Linked DNA regions of Mytilus edulis. The protein of the gene in region 2 interacts with the protein of the main gene of each other region in a pairwise test. Links are inferred from orthologs where the notes say so. Each region holds a gene or a part of one and is shown on either strand. Other genes may lie near its edges.

Region 1 (7,678 bases), on a different chromosome or scaffold from region 2:
GTGTAGTTAAACTCTCATCACAAATCAACATGATGAAGCTACACCAAATAATATATTACTAAACACAAACAATAAAAAAAGTTTACAGGGCCAAACTCTTTGAAATACAATTACTCTGTCAGTCATGTACATGTATGGTAAACTATGAGATGTTTAGTTTATGTTCATTTTTTTGGAAGGAGAGGGGGTGGGGGAGAATAGTAAGTTTATTTTGCCTCTTTTGGTTAATAGTATGAATGTGTATTGCCATGTTATATGAACATGTAGTATGAATGACTTTTCTTATGCAAATTTTATAGAATAAATAATCATAACAACAACTTATGCATCTTTATTGACAATATATACAGTAAAAAAATATGTGAACTCGTGATACACGCAGGGACGTAGACAAAAATAAATGAGCAGTGCCTTCTCCTATCATAAAAAAGTGCCCTGCCCTTCACTGGCACCCTGCCCCTTTTGAATTCTAGCTAGAGCACTGATCAACATATGCACTTTACTAAAAATTGGGATAACCAGTTTTCTGCTAAAGTGACAAAATTACAATCTATTGCAGTGTTCTCCCCAGGATATTTGGATAGCACCAGGGTAACGCGTGACGAAATGAATTTTACAATATTGTGTGTCGCGTTGCGTCGCTTATTTTTTTCTTGTTAGTTTTTGTCATTACCTTTTTGCCTTTGTTTTGTTTACTATGGTACTGTGTTGTATGGACTTTGGGTCAGAACATTATTGGTAGAAAAAGTAAATCAATAAAACAGTTTGTATACTTTAATATCTTTGAAAAAGAAAAGAAAGCACAATTAGTCTTTAAACTAAAGTCACTTCTTATATTTTGATCAAGCCATTTTGTCCCAATACTTGTAGTTACACTACACATTCCCCATGTTAGATTTGACCATAACAATGAACTTTGAACAAGATTAATTTTTGATACAGAATCTTCAGTAAATTAAAAACTTTCTATTCTTTTTAACAACAACAAATTAATTTATTTTCTTATGCATATTAGTTTTTACTTTAAATTATTTATATATAGTTAAAATATTTTATTTCAAATATGAATGTAATTTTAAAATTTTTATTCCTATTAAATTTAGGCATTAAGCTTTACATCCATTACAATTTGAAAATTACTACCACTTATATATAAAAGTCTGTGTATCAATAAAGGTATGATTCTCTAAAATAATTTGCAAAACATTTTAGTTGGTATGTTCTACGAAAGTTTTTATCCTTAATGTAACATTCTAATATAATTTTGCATTCAATTTGTACTTTATTCTAATTTTCAATGAGAAATTATGTGTGAGGAGCATTTATTTGTAATAAGCAAAATCAGGGGAAGTAACTCCACAATTAATTTCTAACAGGCAAATTATTTTGACTAAAGACTGGCGTAATAGAGTTCATTAACAAATGTCTGCTTGTCCCCTATTACAAGTCTGTTATTAAAAATATGATCTCTTAATTAATTAAAACACAAGAGAATCATGTACACCGATTAAATCCAATCATCAAGGTTAACCTCAACAGGTAAATCGATCACGTGGTGTAAACAATCTACTTGTCAATACTGGATTAAACTGGTTAGAACTGGTCAATTTTCATGTAAAATTTTAATCCTCACTGAAAGTTGAAGTCATCTGAAACTTTACCGATTTTGATACGATTTTTTTACCGAAAACTTAAGCACCACGGAGAAAAATTATACATCGCGGCAAGAACGATACCACCGCGGTAGAAAATTATACATCGCGGGCCCGTGGTCCTTTAAGGGCCTGGGGAGAACACTGTATTGTATACCTATCTGAACACCTGATCAACAACAAAAGGAATAGTTGACCTTTAAATTTCATGTTAAATCGAACAATAGAAATTCTGTTCAGTGAGGCATAAGTGAGTAGAATTTACCTGATCATCACAGCTTTCAATCATGGTGAACAATAGATTTTATATTTAGTCAGATAAGCATCAAACTGGGCATGTGCATATTAAATTAAGTACATCAATTGGTGCATCAACTGTTCCAGGTTACTGCCATAATAAGTAGAGAATGCCATTCTGCCCTATTTTGATTTAAATCCAGTCTAAACAAAAATACCCCTCTATAGAGGGATAAATTTACCCCTCTATAGAAGGATTATCCCTCTATACAGGTATAATCACCATATAGAGGGTTTGTTCCCAACCTGTTAAAAGGTAGGTCAGTAGTGGTTTTTTTTTTGCGATTTATGAATGGAATGTGAAAAACTATATCTCGAGTGAACGCGATTGATAGGTTAGATTATTTTTACCGATAACCCCTACGAATTTCAGCTGACGGCGACTATAGTGAAAAATTTGCAATAGTCATATAAGGAAAAAAAATTATAATTAGTTTCCGTACTAGTAGATGAAAAAGTATCAAAATTTCAAGTGTTATTTGGTTATTAAAAGTGTTATTCGGTCATTTGAGGTACAAAGTCGTACCAATTGCATCACTGACATTGTTAACTTAAATTCAAAGACAGTCAGATAAAAAAATGTTTTGCCTATCTACCTTTCCTTTTTTTTTCAGTGCATTAGTGGAAACACATGTATTTCTATAAATGTGCCGCCTTGCAAGACTTGGTAATCATTTGGGCGTAGAAAATCTACCCAGAGGTAGAAAAAAAATAGAATAGCAACCTCATAATTATTTGGACTACAGGTCTAAACCAGTTACTGAGTTTTACTGTATATCTCCAGTTAAGAACAAGATTTTTATGGACAGCATGTTTAAAATGTGTGAGCATATCTCCCAATCAGAAGATATTAAATTTTTATTTATTGAAAAGGAGATGAACAAGATCATAAATGTTTGCATCTTCATAACATTTGGTATTGTTTTAGTAACGAAACGTGAATAAAAGTGATTCATAACGCTATACCTCTCCGGCTTTGTCTTTAGCCTCTGCCAAGACACCAAAGTCTTTATACATTTGTTCTACTGTCACCATTTCTTTATATTTGGAGCAACTCGTAGAAATGAATAGAAAACGTTTTCCTTGCGCGTGGGTTACCGGCGGAAGTAAATTCTGATACAATAAAGTGTTGATTTATAAAACCTTAACGGTCTCACTAATTAGCGACAACAAGAATTTTAGCGACAACAAGCGTCAACAAGCGACAAGAAGCGACAACAAGAATTATTTTAGCGACAACAAGCGACAAGAAACTATTTAGCGACAAGAAAACATTTTATTTTAATTAAAATTAATTATTGCAATAAATATTAAAAGAACATGCAAAAGAAAATAATTTTAGCGACAAGAAAGTTAAAATTGATAGAAAAAAATGAAACATTATTTACATAATATTTTATCATCTATTATGAATAACAGCCAGTATTACGTTTAATTATTGTAAAAACTCTTTTCGTGCAATATGTATTAAGCTCGCAAAATGAATTACTTGTGCATCATTGTCCTGAAAATATTGACACAAATTGTGAAATACAAAGAACTGAAACCAAACAGGAGGAAAAGAAAATTGAAATGTGAATGTGTTCATCTTTTTATTTATTTATTGCCTCATTAAACGATATTTATCATGTTTATGCATATTGATTGAAGATGAAAGGAAATTAATGACAATCTTGAGTTTTCAACAGGTGTTCACTATTTATAATGATTGTATATTCTGGCGCGTGTAATTGTATAGTCTGACGTGTGTACAAAGTTGAAGGTGTTAATTGGATGTTATTGTAGCAATAAAACAGGGGACACGCGACTCGTTAATCTCATTTGATGTTCCACATTGTGTGTACTGTTATTACCTTAGGATGAAGCCACATCTAATGTTGTTCCTATCAAGAACAATGAATTATACTGTTAGAAAGGAAATAATATTTCATGTTTTTGTTTCAATAAATCCTTCAAAGGAAAGTTGACCTTTTTTTTTTTGTTTTTGTTTCAATTTTGTAGCGTGTGCATTTCCTTTACTCTACCAAGCTGACTGAAGCAATTCAACTTTTATGTTTAGTATAAAGTAAATTGTCAGCATTTCAGTATTATTCTCACAAAAGTACGTGCTCAATATATGGACCCCAAGGTAGAACCACGTCCTCGTCGTGGGGTCTGGAAACACGCTTAAATAATAAAGATGGCAAAGCGTGGCTGAGAGTTCTACAAATAAAGCAAGCATCGAATTGACATAACAAGAGTACACTTAGAGCATAGTATTAAGCAAATGAATCAAAATATTATATTCCATTATGCCCGCTCCATATATATCTCCATTCGTTTATTCATACTTTGACTTTGATGAAAACAGATACATCTACATTATCTTATACATATTCTTCATATTTAAAAATAAAAAAAAAAAAGAAGCTCAATCTCTTTCTTTTTCACAAATGTTAAATTTCTTCATCTACCAATATACTAATATAAACTTCACAATCTCTTTCTTTCTCACAAATGTTTCATTTCTTCATCTATCTATATAATAAAACATTTTAATTAGACATATCTGCTCGTATATTTAAAATTTAAAAAAAAAACATTAAATACAAATTTCTTTATATCTAATAAAAAAAAAATGTTTTCTTGTCGCTAAATAGTCTTCTTGTCGCTTGTTGTCGCTAAAATAATTTTTGTTGTCGCTTCTTGTCGCTTGTTGTCGCTTCTTGACGCTTGTTGTCGCTAATTAGTGAGACCCAACCTTAATGATCATTTATATATCTCTTAAATGGCCTGTTACAAGTGTTATAATAACTAGTCTCATTCTGTAAAACATAAAAAAATTTTTTAATAAGGCCGTTTTTCATTTGATAATATTTGTCTTTATTTGTTTTTTTGACATTTTTTTGGTGAAGGAGGTCAGCCCAACGAACATAAGACAATTCGCCCCCAAAGTCTCGCCACCGTTTAATAGTTCAATTTCTGGTATTTTTCTCATGAAGTTTATCCTGTTAATAGATCTTAATAGCTAAGTGGCATACCAACTTCGGATATCACCTGTTAAACAAATAAAAACACTTAAGCCGTCATAATGTGGAAAAATTTGTTTGATTCTTGTTTATGTCACACAAATAAATATGTATTATACGGAGATGCTACAAACATTTAATAAGCTCCAAAGGAGAGCAGCCATATTGATCAGGCATTAGTATTCTCGAGACTGGCCAGACATTTAGTTACCGGTTGGTTTATTTAGAGGACCGATTACTGGAGAAACAAAAACATCACCTCTCATGACCCCTTTTTCACAACATATTGTGAGTAATCATTCAACTAACTAATTTCAATCCCAATTTCATAATTTTTGTAGCAAGACTGGCTCGTCATTTCCATAAAAAAAAACAAGAATATGTCCCCGGTACACGGATGCCCCATCTGCACTATTATTTTCTATAAAATTGAGAATGGAAATGGGGAATGTGTCAAAGAGACAACAACCCGACCAAATAAAAAACAACAGCAGAGGGTCACCAACAGGTCTTCAATGTACATGATGTAGCGAGAAATGCCCGCACCCGGAGGCGTCCTTCAGCTGGCCCCTAAACAAATATATACTAGTCCAGTGATAATGAACGCCATACTTATTTCCAAATTGTACACAAGAAACATTTCTAAGCTTCATAATTGTTTTGTTAGTGAATTCTATAATAAAGGAGCAAAGATTGGCGTCCAGAATATGAACCAGCATACAATAATTTAAGTTATATAATTACCCGAAAAAGATAGGGTATATCAGGGTAGGACTGATGGCTGACTAAATAGTAGAATGGGGCTGAATATTGAAATACTACTTTTTGATAAATATTCCTAAAGTAATGAACTAGAGCAGTTCTCGCTCGGACACACACTCAGTGGACCGTGGAAAGGGGAGAAAATCTCTAATTTAGCATTGAAATAAGAAAAGATCATATTCATAGGGAACATATGTACTAAGTTTCAAGTTGATTGGACTTCAACTTCTTCAAAAACTACCTCGACCCAAAACTGTAGCCTGAAGCGGGGCGAGCGGACGAATGGAATAACGGGCGAACAGACGAACGAACGGACGCACAGACCAGAAAACATAATGGCCATAAATGGGGCATAATAAAACACGATTTGTCAGATGAGGATCAAGTACTGACAAACAAAAACATAGTTTCTTCGTAAGATCCATTACAAACTGGAATGAACTGCCGCCTATATAGCTAGCCTAATTGGACATTGTTAACTATAATACATCAAGACCGACCTCATAGCACACGGATTATATGCGTTAATCAACATACAAATGTGGGTTTTTTTTCTAAAATTTTGCGAAATATCATGGTTACTTTTCAATCTTATTTTATTGTAAGGATATACACCTATCATGCAGTGAGGAGCCAAAGCCTTTCTAGAATTAAACTTTTAATCTTAACCTGATTTTTGGGTTTGAGTGACTGTCAACAAATTGATGAAGAAAAATCATATGGTGGTGCACTTCTTTTTTTGCTTCAACCATTTGAAAATACCAATTTTGATGATTTTCCCTTTTTCATAATTTTTTACACATTCTTGTGCTATTATCATGAAAAAAAATATGACAGTTTCACAGTTAAACTTTTTTTAATGCTTTCACTAAAGATGACAATCTGAATAAAGTTAACTCCAAAAAAATATAGGTAGGTGTTTAGTTTAAACATATTTCATTTGCTTAAATGTGCAAAACGTAGGTGTTGCCATATAAATCAAAAACATGATCTGTGACAAACATAACATATATACAAAAATAAACAGTACAATATTAAAATACAAAATGTAGCAGTTCAAATTATTGTTTTGAGTCTCCCGTCCTCAGTTCTAATGACTGTCTTATAAAGGAAACTTTATTTTTAATTTGACTGTGAGACGTGGGGTTTAGTAATAATTTATATATAAGTTTAAGCATGTCATCTTTAGCAGTATCTTTCCACTCCGAATTCATTTTAATGGAGTCAAATTTTTTTTTTCTATAAAAGTTAAATTTAGGGCATTTGAGAAAGAAGTGTTTTTCGTCCTCTATCTCATTACAGAATTTTCAATATCTCTGATCTCTAGGGATCTTTTAAGATGTCTACCCTTTTCTGAATTTTATTAACAGTTCAGAATGGTTAAAAAGTTTTGTAAATTTGGGATTTTTCTCTCTTTTTTTTGAAAAAAAGCACTTTATTTTAACTTCTTTATTATACTTATGGTAAATTGTAATTTTACAGAAGATGTTAGGGAGCTACCATTTGATTTAGGGAAGGGGGAGGGGCTTGGATAAAAAAAAATGGCCTGCGTTTTTTTTTTTTTAATTGAAATCTCTGTCCTGCCCATTTTTTTATTAGTTTATCCTGAGTTTCTTTTTTCCCCCAAATTGTCATCTTGCCTTTATTTTTTGTGCCATGCAGGTATTTCTTCCTGTCTTTTTTCAAAATTTCAACCTAGCTCCCCTTAACAATCAAATGGTAGCTCTCATCTCATCTCATCATCTGGGATGGAAGTTTATGCACTGGTTTAAGCTCCTCTCCGTCTGTGCTTTTCCTACACGAAGCTGTCAACGACGGGAATTTGTAGGGTAGTGCAATAACTAAATAAACCGTCCGGTTAATGCATTTCTTTGGAAAACCTTGCTAACGTGCATTCTTTATTTATTTTTTATATTTCAAGATTCGATAATGAATTTGAAAAATAAGAGAAGTTACAAC
Region 2 (7,239 bases):
AGGTACAATACCTCTTTCAGTTTGTCTTTATGAATAACAAGTTTGAATGTTTTCTCCAGTGTTTTTTTTTTTGTCAACATGTATAAAACATTTCATTGTTTTTAATTACAAATTGCTTGGCCTGCCTTCTAAATGATCTTCTTTCATTATTATAATATCAAACTCTAGAGGGTATTGACCATCACACAAAAAGTCATATAGCTGTTTATATTCACCAATTTCCATTTTTGTTTACATCTCTGTTGTCCTGATTTAAATTTCAATTTAAAAATGTGTTATTCTGTCCCGTGAACGAAATTTCACAGAAGACACAATTTCATGGGACACTTTTTTGGCTTACAAAAAACTCATCAACTAAAATAATCAAATTAAAACGATGTTTTTGTTTAATTTTATTTACATAAATAAGTTGACTTGTCCCCTATTTTACTTTTGGTTTCTGATGCTGAGTCATGTTCCAACTGATTTGTCTCATGACGAGTATTAACCCTGTTCTTGTTAATGCATTATGACATGCATACATCCCGGTACGTGCAATGGACGCTTTCTGATACCAATGCCTTAGTCTTGTTATCATCATCACCCCTCAGCTCTCAAAAAGAAGCTAATCACATTTAATATTATTACCGGAAATTTACTTTCGTTTCAGTCCATTGCAACTGTAATGATAAATCCCGAGCAATACGAAAAGAATTATGACGACATGACAAACGCTAATTCTATAAAGACAGAGAAGATCGAAAAGTTTTCATCACCACGTGTACCTTTGGAGTAAAGGAAAATTTCAACAGGGAACCTTTCAATGCTCTATTTTAAGAACGAAAGGGCATTTCCAATTTAAACTATTTACACGACGACTATGTAATAGATAAGGCTAAACTATGCACACGATTTATCAGGATCTCTGATGTGATTATTAATAAAATATAATAAAACCAAAATGTATATGCTGTATAATTAATGTTTATTTCAAAACGGATTATCTTGAAACGTGGTGCATTCTTACTTTATGGGCCGAGTAATCTTAGGCCGAGTTGACTATATATAGCGACTGGTTTACGGTAGAAAATTTACCCTCCAGTATCTGTATCTGTATGTAAATAAAGAGGTCATGGAACCAGTGTAGACAAAATTCGACGAAGTTGTCAGATATGACCGGCGTTTGGACTGTATTTGCCGAAAGTACAACAGATTGATGTTCAATGACAAATAAATTTACTAGCCCCTCGGGCTACCGCGCCACGGACATTTACTAGCCCCACACAAAAGTAACTAGTCTCGGGCTGTCGAACCCTGTTGTTGTCTTTTTCACACATTCCCCATTTCAATTTTCTATTTTATGAATTTTTTTTAAATGTCATATATATAATGGTTATTAATTAAAATGTGCAATCTCCCCATCCATGTTTGACTCAACACCAACTTCAAGTCAAGAAAATTATTTTTAACTAAATCATGTTAAGAGTATTCCATAAAAAGATGATTGGAATCAGTTTGTGCAAATCAACATACATAATTTGTTATATTTCTGATATTACAGTTTTGTAGTTTTCATCTATATTTGATAATGAGAAAAGATGAACGTGTTTAGTCAGTTCGTTTGTTGATAATCATTTGTTTTTTGCAGTTATTGTTGTGTCTATGATTGAAAGATAGATCTGTTTCCACAAGATGACTTTGCGTGAAATAAATGAAAAAGTATGTTTGGATTTTCTCTATATTTTAGCTCTATCCTTCAGACTTGTACTGAATTTGTTGATAATTGTTTTAATGATTATTAGAATTAATCCATTCACATCCACAACCATTAATTTCAAGGCAATAATAAGATATGAAGAATAAGTCCTTATGGTAACAGTAAACTTGTAGTTTTATTGGAGTACTGATTTTTCTTACCACTGCATTTATTGGCTCATTATCATCTTGATCTAGAAAGAAAGAAAACAATACTTAAACAATATAATACATGTGGCATTCAACAAAATATAAATATACAATAAGAATCTGGATTTATTTCTGAGATTCTTATCATTGTACTGTCTTTTTCTAGAGGTTTCATTCCAGGACCTTTTTAGCTTTTTATTTGTACATGGCAAAATTTATGAACACTGTATGGTGATATTTAGTTTTTTTACACCCTTTCCTGTGATGGACTGTTTTCTGATTGGAATCATCTAGTTATCTTTATTTTGGATAATACATTTGATGATCCATCTCACTACATATTGTACATGTTATATGAGTATTGATTTGTGTAAAAGTAATAATCTAATTGTTGCTAATTGGTTCTGGTAAAAAAAAGTTTAATCAATGGAGTAAAATTTACATAATATACTGTATAAATCTCCTAATTCAAGCTGCCAGAAAGTTATTCTAAATGTTCTTTTGTATGCAAATAAAGAAAAGTCATTACAAACAATCATTCTACCAGTTACTTACTTTCAGGATTTTCATCTGTCTCCTGTTCTTCTCGTAGGAACTGAAATAAACGAAGACAAATGAGCATGGTAGTAAACCATATTATAAAGTGATTGTCACAAGTTCTAAAACCAAGAAAAAAACAACAGAATCAAGCCGACATTGTTAGTGCTTTGACTTTCTTTAAAAGAGATATTTATTGTTTTTTTTTCCATTTTTTAGTCTATAATTTAAGAATTATCTCCCTTGGGTAACAATTTTGGCTTCGACTACAATTATTACTGACATTTTAAACTGTACTTTAACAAGGTAAAAGTGTGACAGATATAGAATGATGAACATAGCTTTTTGAAATACCAAAAACTACAGGCTAGCCGCTACAGCAAATTATATTTTGATTTTTTTAATATTTTGTTTGAATCACTTTGATACACCTGATACATTTTTCAGATGCTATATTCATACGGTTTATTTTGCATTACCGTTCTGAGTCTCTCTACAATATCTTCCTTTTTTCCACTCTTAGAAAGACCCCTTTTATCACATTCTTTCTTCAAATCTACCACGCGATAGTCATTTATGTCTTTTCCCCTTAAAGTCGGAGCATCAGTGTCCGCCATTGTTGACATGTGCTGTCGTTGATTTCCGTAATAGTGAAAATTACTGTTATTTTTTATTCATTATAAGTTTCAATTAAATTAAATAAAGTAAAAACACAGTGAATTCTTTATACAATTGTGCCTACTTAGAAAAAAATACTACATTTAAATTTCTTTTGTCTGTCGATAGTTTCCGTATCCCGGAAGTGACAAAAAGCTGTCTGCAAAATAAATGAAGCTGCAGGTGCCCTAAAACAATAATCTGTTTAAATACAAACGAATATTGAGGATGACAGCTGTAAATACGACAATCACAACAGTGATGAGAACAGTAGCAGATGCGTTAAAGCTAGATGGAGACGGAAAAGTTCAAGTATATATGATAACTGTGAAGTTTGTGATCATTTCCAAAGTTCAATTAGTAATCACAAACCAACTGTTGAACAGTTGAATGATTTATGAGGAAACATGTACATTGAATTTACAAAATTTAAAGTTTCTTTAAATTTCTGCCATGCTCTGTCAGTTTCAACTTGCCCCTGTTACTGCTGACACAGTCTAGACTATGCCATTCAAACCTTATGGCTTCAACAATAATAGTGGACATGGTGGAATATTACATATTCTGTTACACTTGACCATCATGACCATTGGCCTCATACAACAGCCAAAACTTCTTTGTGTCATCAGACATCTTGTCTTGTTACTTGAAAATTCTAAAGTCATATGAAACAAATTTCTGGTGATTTAGCATAAAGGTTTAGGAAAAGTGAAACCACAAAAATGCTGAACTTCGTGGGGATTGTAGAGTGGTCAGTGGTCCAGACATACTTTTGATACAATTATCTCTGTGATAACATCTTACATTAATTTGTATGATCTTTTACAATAGATAAATCAGCTGTCAGATCTGTAACAATTCCATCTTCATGCCTTTTATATCATGTACTGTGTTACGACGCTAGATTAAAACTGACAAGGAAAGGTAACACCATGCCACCAAAAGCTTTATTATTTGTAGAGCCTAGGTGGTTGTGTGGTCTAGCCCTTATGGCATAGTGCAAGGCAAATTTGGTGCCACAATATCTCAGTGGCATGAATTTCGAAATCCTGGCAAGGGAAGATAAAAAAAATTGTGAAAGTTAAATTTACAGATCTAACATTATTGGGCTGATGTTAAGAAGAGTTATACATACTTATACATAAACATTTATATATTCATCATGTTCATTTAAAAGTATCAATGATTTTTTTTTAGGAATCATATATGAAGTATTTAGAATGTGTTTTGAGAATTAGTACAAAGTTGCTACAAGATGCTAGACTTGGAGGTAGAGTTGATATATATGATCCCTGTATTCTATTTTATAAACTGTGATATGACAATGTATGATTGTTGAGTGTTACAGTATGGTTAGCATGAAGGCTTTACTAATATGCCCACCTTAGTCACCTAATCATATGGAAAAGAAGGAATATAATTCATGACATAAGACATTTGAAAATAAACAAAAGTGCTTTTATAAGTGTCCCTATCTTTAACAGGTCGAGAACTCTAGATTTCCTGACGTCCAAATATATTTGCATAGTAATTTCCAAAACACAAGGCCAATACGGCCTTGAAAAACTGACCAATTGACTCAATGAACTACAATGCATTGTGGGCTACTATGAGTCTACACCATTTGAAAACATGTGGAATTAGTGGAAAAACTGTCCACTAACATAGTGTCTGGGACTCTGAAAATAAATGTTTTTGGTCTACGAATATGTTTATTGTAAAATATATAACATAATCTTCAATTTGCATGCTCAGATTAAAAAAATATTGTTTACAGGCTTCATGATTCGACTTTCCTTTTCGCCTTGTAAAAGTAGTTGAACAGGTTTTTTCCATTGTTATGCATTGTACTTGTGCAATAATTTCACGGCGTGAAACAGTGAAATTTTAGATGAATTGACCACTGTCTAGTATGAACAATTTTTGAGCTCTTTTAAACCTGTATAATGTCATTCCAAAAACATTTCTGTGTAGAAAAACATGAAAACTGGCACTGAAACACTTCTATCTGTACTGGATGTGTAAACTTTTTTTTATCAGGACCTGAACTAAAAGTAAGAGCACCATAATATTCAGTATGCTAGATATAAGTGTTATTAAAGCGGTGACGGTAAATAACTTAACATACATGTACTTTGTATAGTTTCATCCATCGATAATGTCTGTCTGTTGCTTATTTAATCCCAAAATATACCTCAGAGGTATTCTTATCGTTTGGCTGCTGTCCAAACGACGTCAAAATCTCCAATTATTTAAATCCTCTGGATCATAGTGGGTTCCATATTACCTATAAGTTTTTCTGAAACATGCCGTGCATATAGAACTAAGAAGATGAGGTATGAGTGCCAAATGAGACATCTTTCCATCCAAGACACAATCTAGTAAAGTAAGCAACTATTGGTTCAATGTTGAAAAGTAAGCTATAAAGGGACCAAAATTTACTTGTGTAAAAGAATGCAATTTTAACAAAACATATCAATGCTTCCACTTTGTCGCACATAAAATGAATAGCATCATTAATGGTTTTAATAAGGTTGGCAAATGTAAGAGTCCGTTAAAAAAAATCCAATGTTGCTATTAGAAAAAAATTGAACTTTGTAAAGACGAAAAACAAAATGAAACTCAGTTGCTGCTTCACTACCTACAGAACAAAAGGAAAAGTTTGAAAGTCCCAAATACTGAAATATGTCAAAAATCAATTATACCTATAGTTTTTGTTAAAACTGTCAGACAAGAATTTAAAAAGATCTTGTGCAGTTTTAATGAAATATGATGGATCATATAGGTTTTGTGCATGTTCTGTATCGCTAAAATTCTCAATATGGAAATATTACTTAAGTGTTCTACAGACGTCAGTAAATATTTCATAAGGGAAAACCGAACTTTCTGAAAAATGTTTGTATACAAAAATAAGGAGATGTGGTATGATTGCCAATGGGACAACTATACATTTAAGCTCAAATGAAATGGATGTAAGTAGTGATGGGCATCTGTAATGCCTTCAACAATGAGAAACACCCATACCGTATAATTGGTCCCTATTCGGCCTATTGATGAATATTCGTTGTTGTTTCTTAAAGACAAAGGAATAAACACATGCTTTTCCTCGATTTAAATTACTTTTTAATCATAAAAGAAGGTACAATATCATAAAATAAATTTTGTGAAAACTTAGAAAGTTTTGTGATCTCATCAGATCTTTGACAAACTCCTAGTCTTCGCCTTTTTACGAACACAAAATTCAAGGATCATATATTTTTCTTTAACTATCTTCCAGTATACAAAATTTGCTGCCCTCATGCATATTAGCACCGGCTAGTTTTGACGGCTTACTTTATACTAGTAAGTTAGTCTGATGGGTAATTGTGTTTTTCACTGTTGTTTCGCTGCTGTCTGGTGGACGAATACCTGAAATCTCGGTGTCATCATCAAACATATTAATGGCTGTACATCGGGTAATTCAAACACTTGTTTCTTGGCATAGAAACAACTCTTTGTTAATCTGAGCATTGAACGAATACTTTATATCCTGAACTATAAATGTGGATACAAAAAATGAAAAACTAAGCGAAATTGTTAATCCCACATTGAACAAAAAATAAGTTGTATTTTAATAAATAACACGCATGTTTGGTTGATTGTAAACACGTAGTAGTCCATCATGCATTGTTACTCATTTAGTGGATTGGTCAAAAACCCAGGAAAAAATAAATTGCGTCACACGTAAATAAACAATAACATTTGCTGCGTATTGCAAGGACATAAATATATATTCTCCGGGTGTGAGAATTTCTCGTTGCATTGAAGACCTGTTGGTAACCTTCTGCTGTAGTCTGCTCTATGGTCGGGTTGTTGTCTCTTTGGCACATTCCCCATTTCCATTCTCAATTTTATGCTAATTAATTCATTTCTGTATAAGGTAGTGTTCCTGACCTGTTAAAGTCATTGTGAAAATTTCTTAAAATCATTATTTTAATATTCTATCTATGAATTTTGTTGAATGTGTAAATACAGTCTCATTTATTAAAAGTCAAACTGGGGATGTAAGATTATATTTATGAGGGATACTAGTAGTATGGTATATTCTTTGGAAGTTTTAACAACCATAAGGAGTTGTGCAATGTTCTTTAGATAAACAAAAACCAATATAAACAACCAATC

What was found. The genes of interacting proteins can lie anywhere in the genome.
Region 1: the proteins of apoptotic chromatin condensation inducer in the nucleus-like (region 2) and apoptosis inhibitor 5-like interact in a two-hybrid assay, tested with the Drosophila melanogaster proteins (2 studies listed by BioGRID). The link is inferred for Mytilus edulis from reciprocal best matches to the Drosophila melanogaster genes Acn and cass.

What each region holds. Positions count from the first base shown.
Region 1 is NC_092350.1:89,948,991-89,956,668, reverse strand, and holds the start of apoptosis inhibitor 5-like, read right to left. Parts: upstream 3,072-7,678; 5' UTR 2,985-3,071; coding exon 2,916-2,984; intron 1-2,915. UniProt on the Drosophila melanogaster protein: Antiapoptotic factor. Also known to efficiently suppress E2F1-induced apoptosis.
Region 2 is NC_092348.1:35,036,083-35,043,321, forward strand, and holds the start of apoptotic chromatin condensation inducer in the nucleus-like, read right to left. Parts: upstream 3,058-7,239; 5' UTR 3,048-3,057; coding exon 2,901-3,047; intron 2,480-2,900; coding exon 2,440-2,479; intron 1,929-2,439; coding exon 1,897-1,928; intron 1-1,896. Other genes in the region: VPS9 domain-containing protein 1-like, read left to right, coding at 3,307-3,390, 4,276-4,348.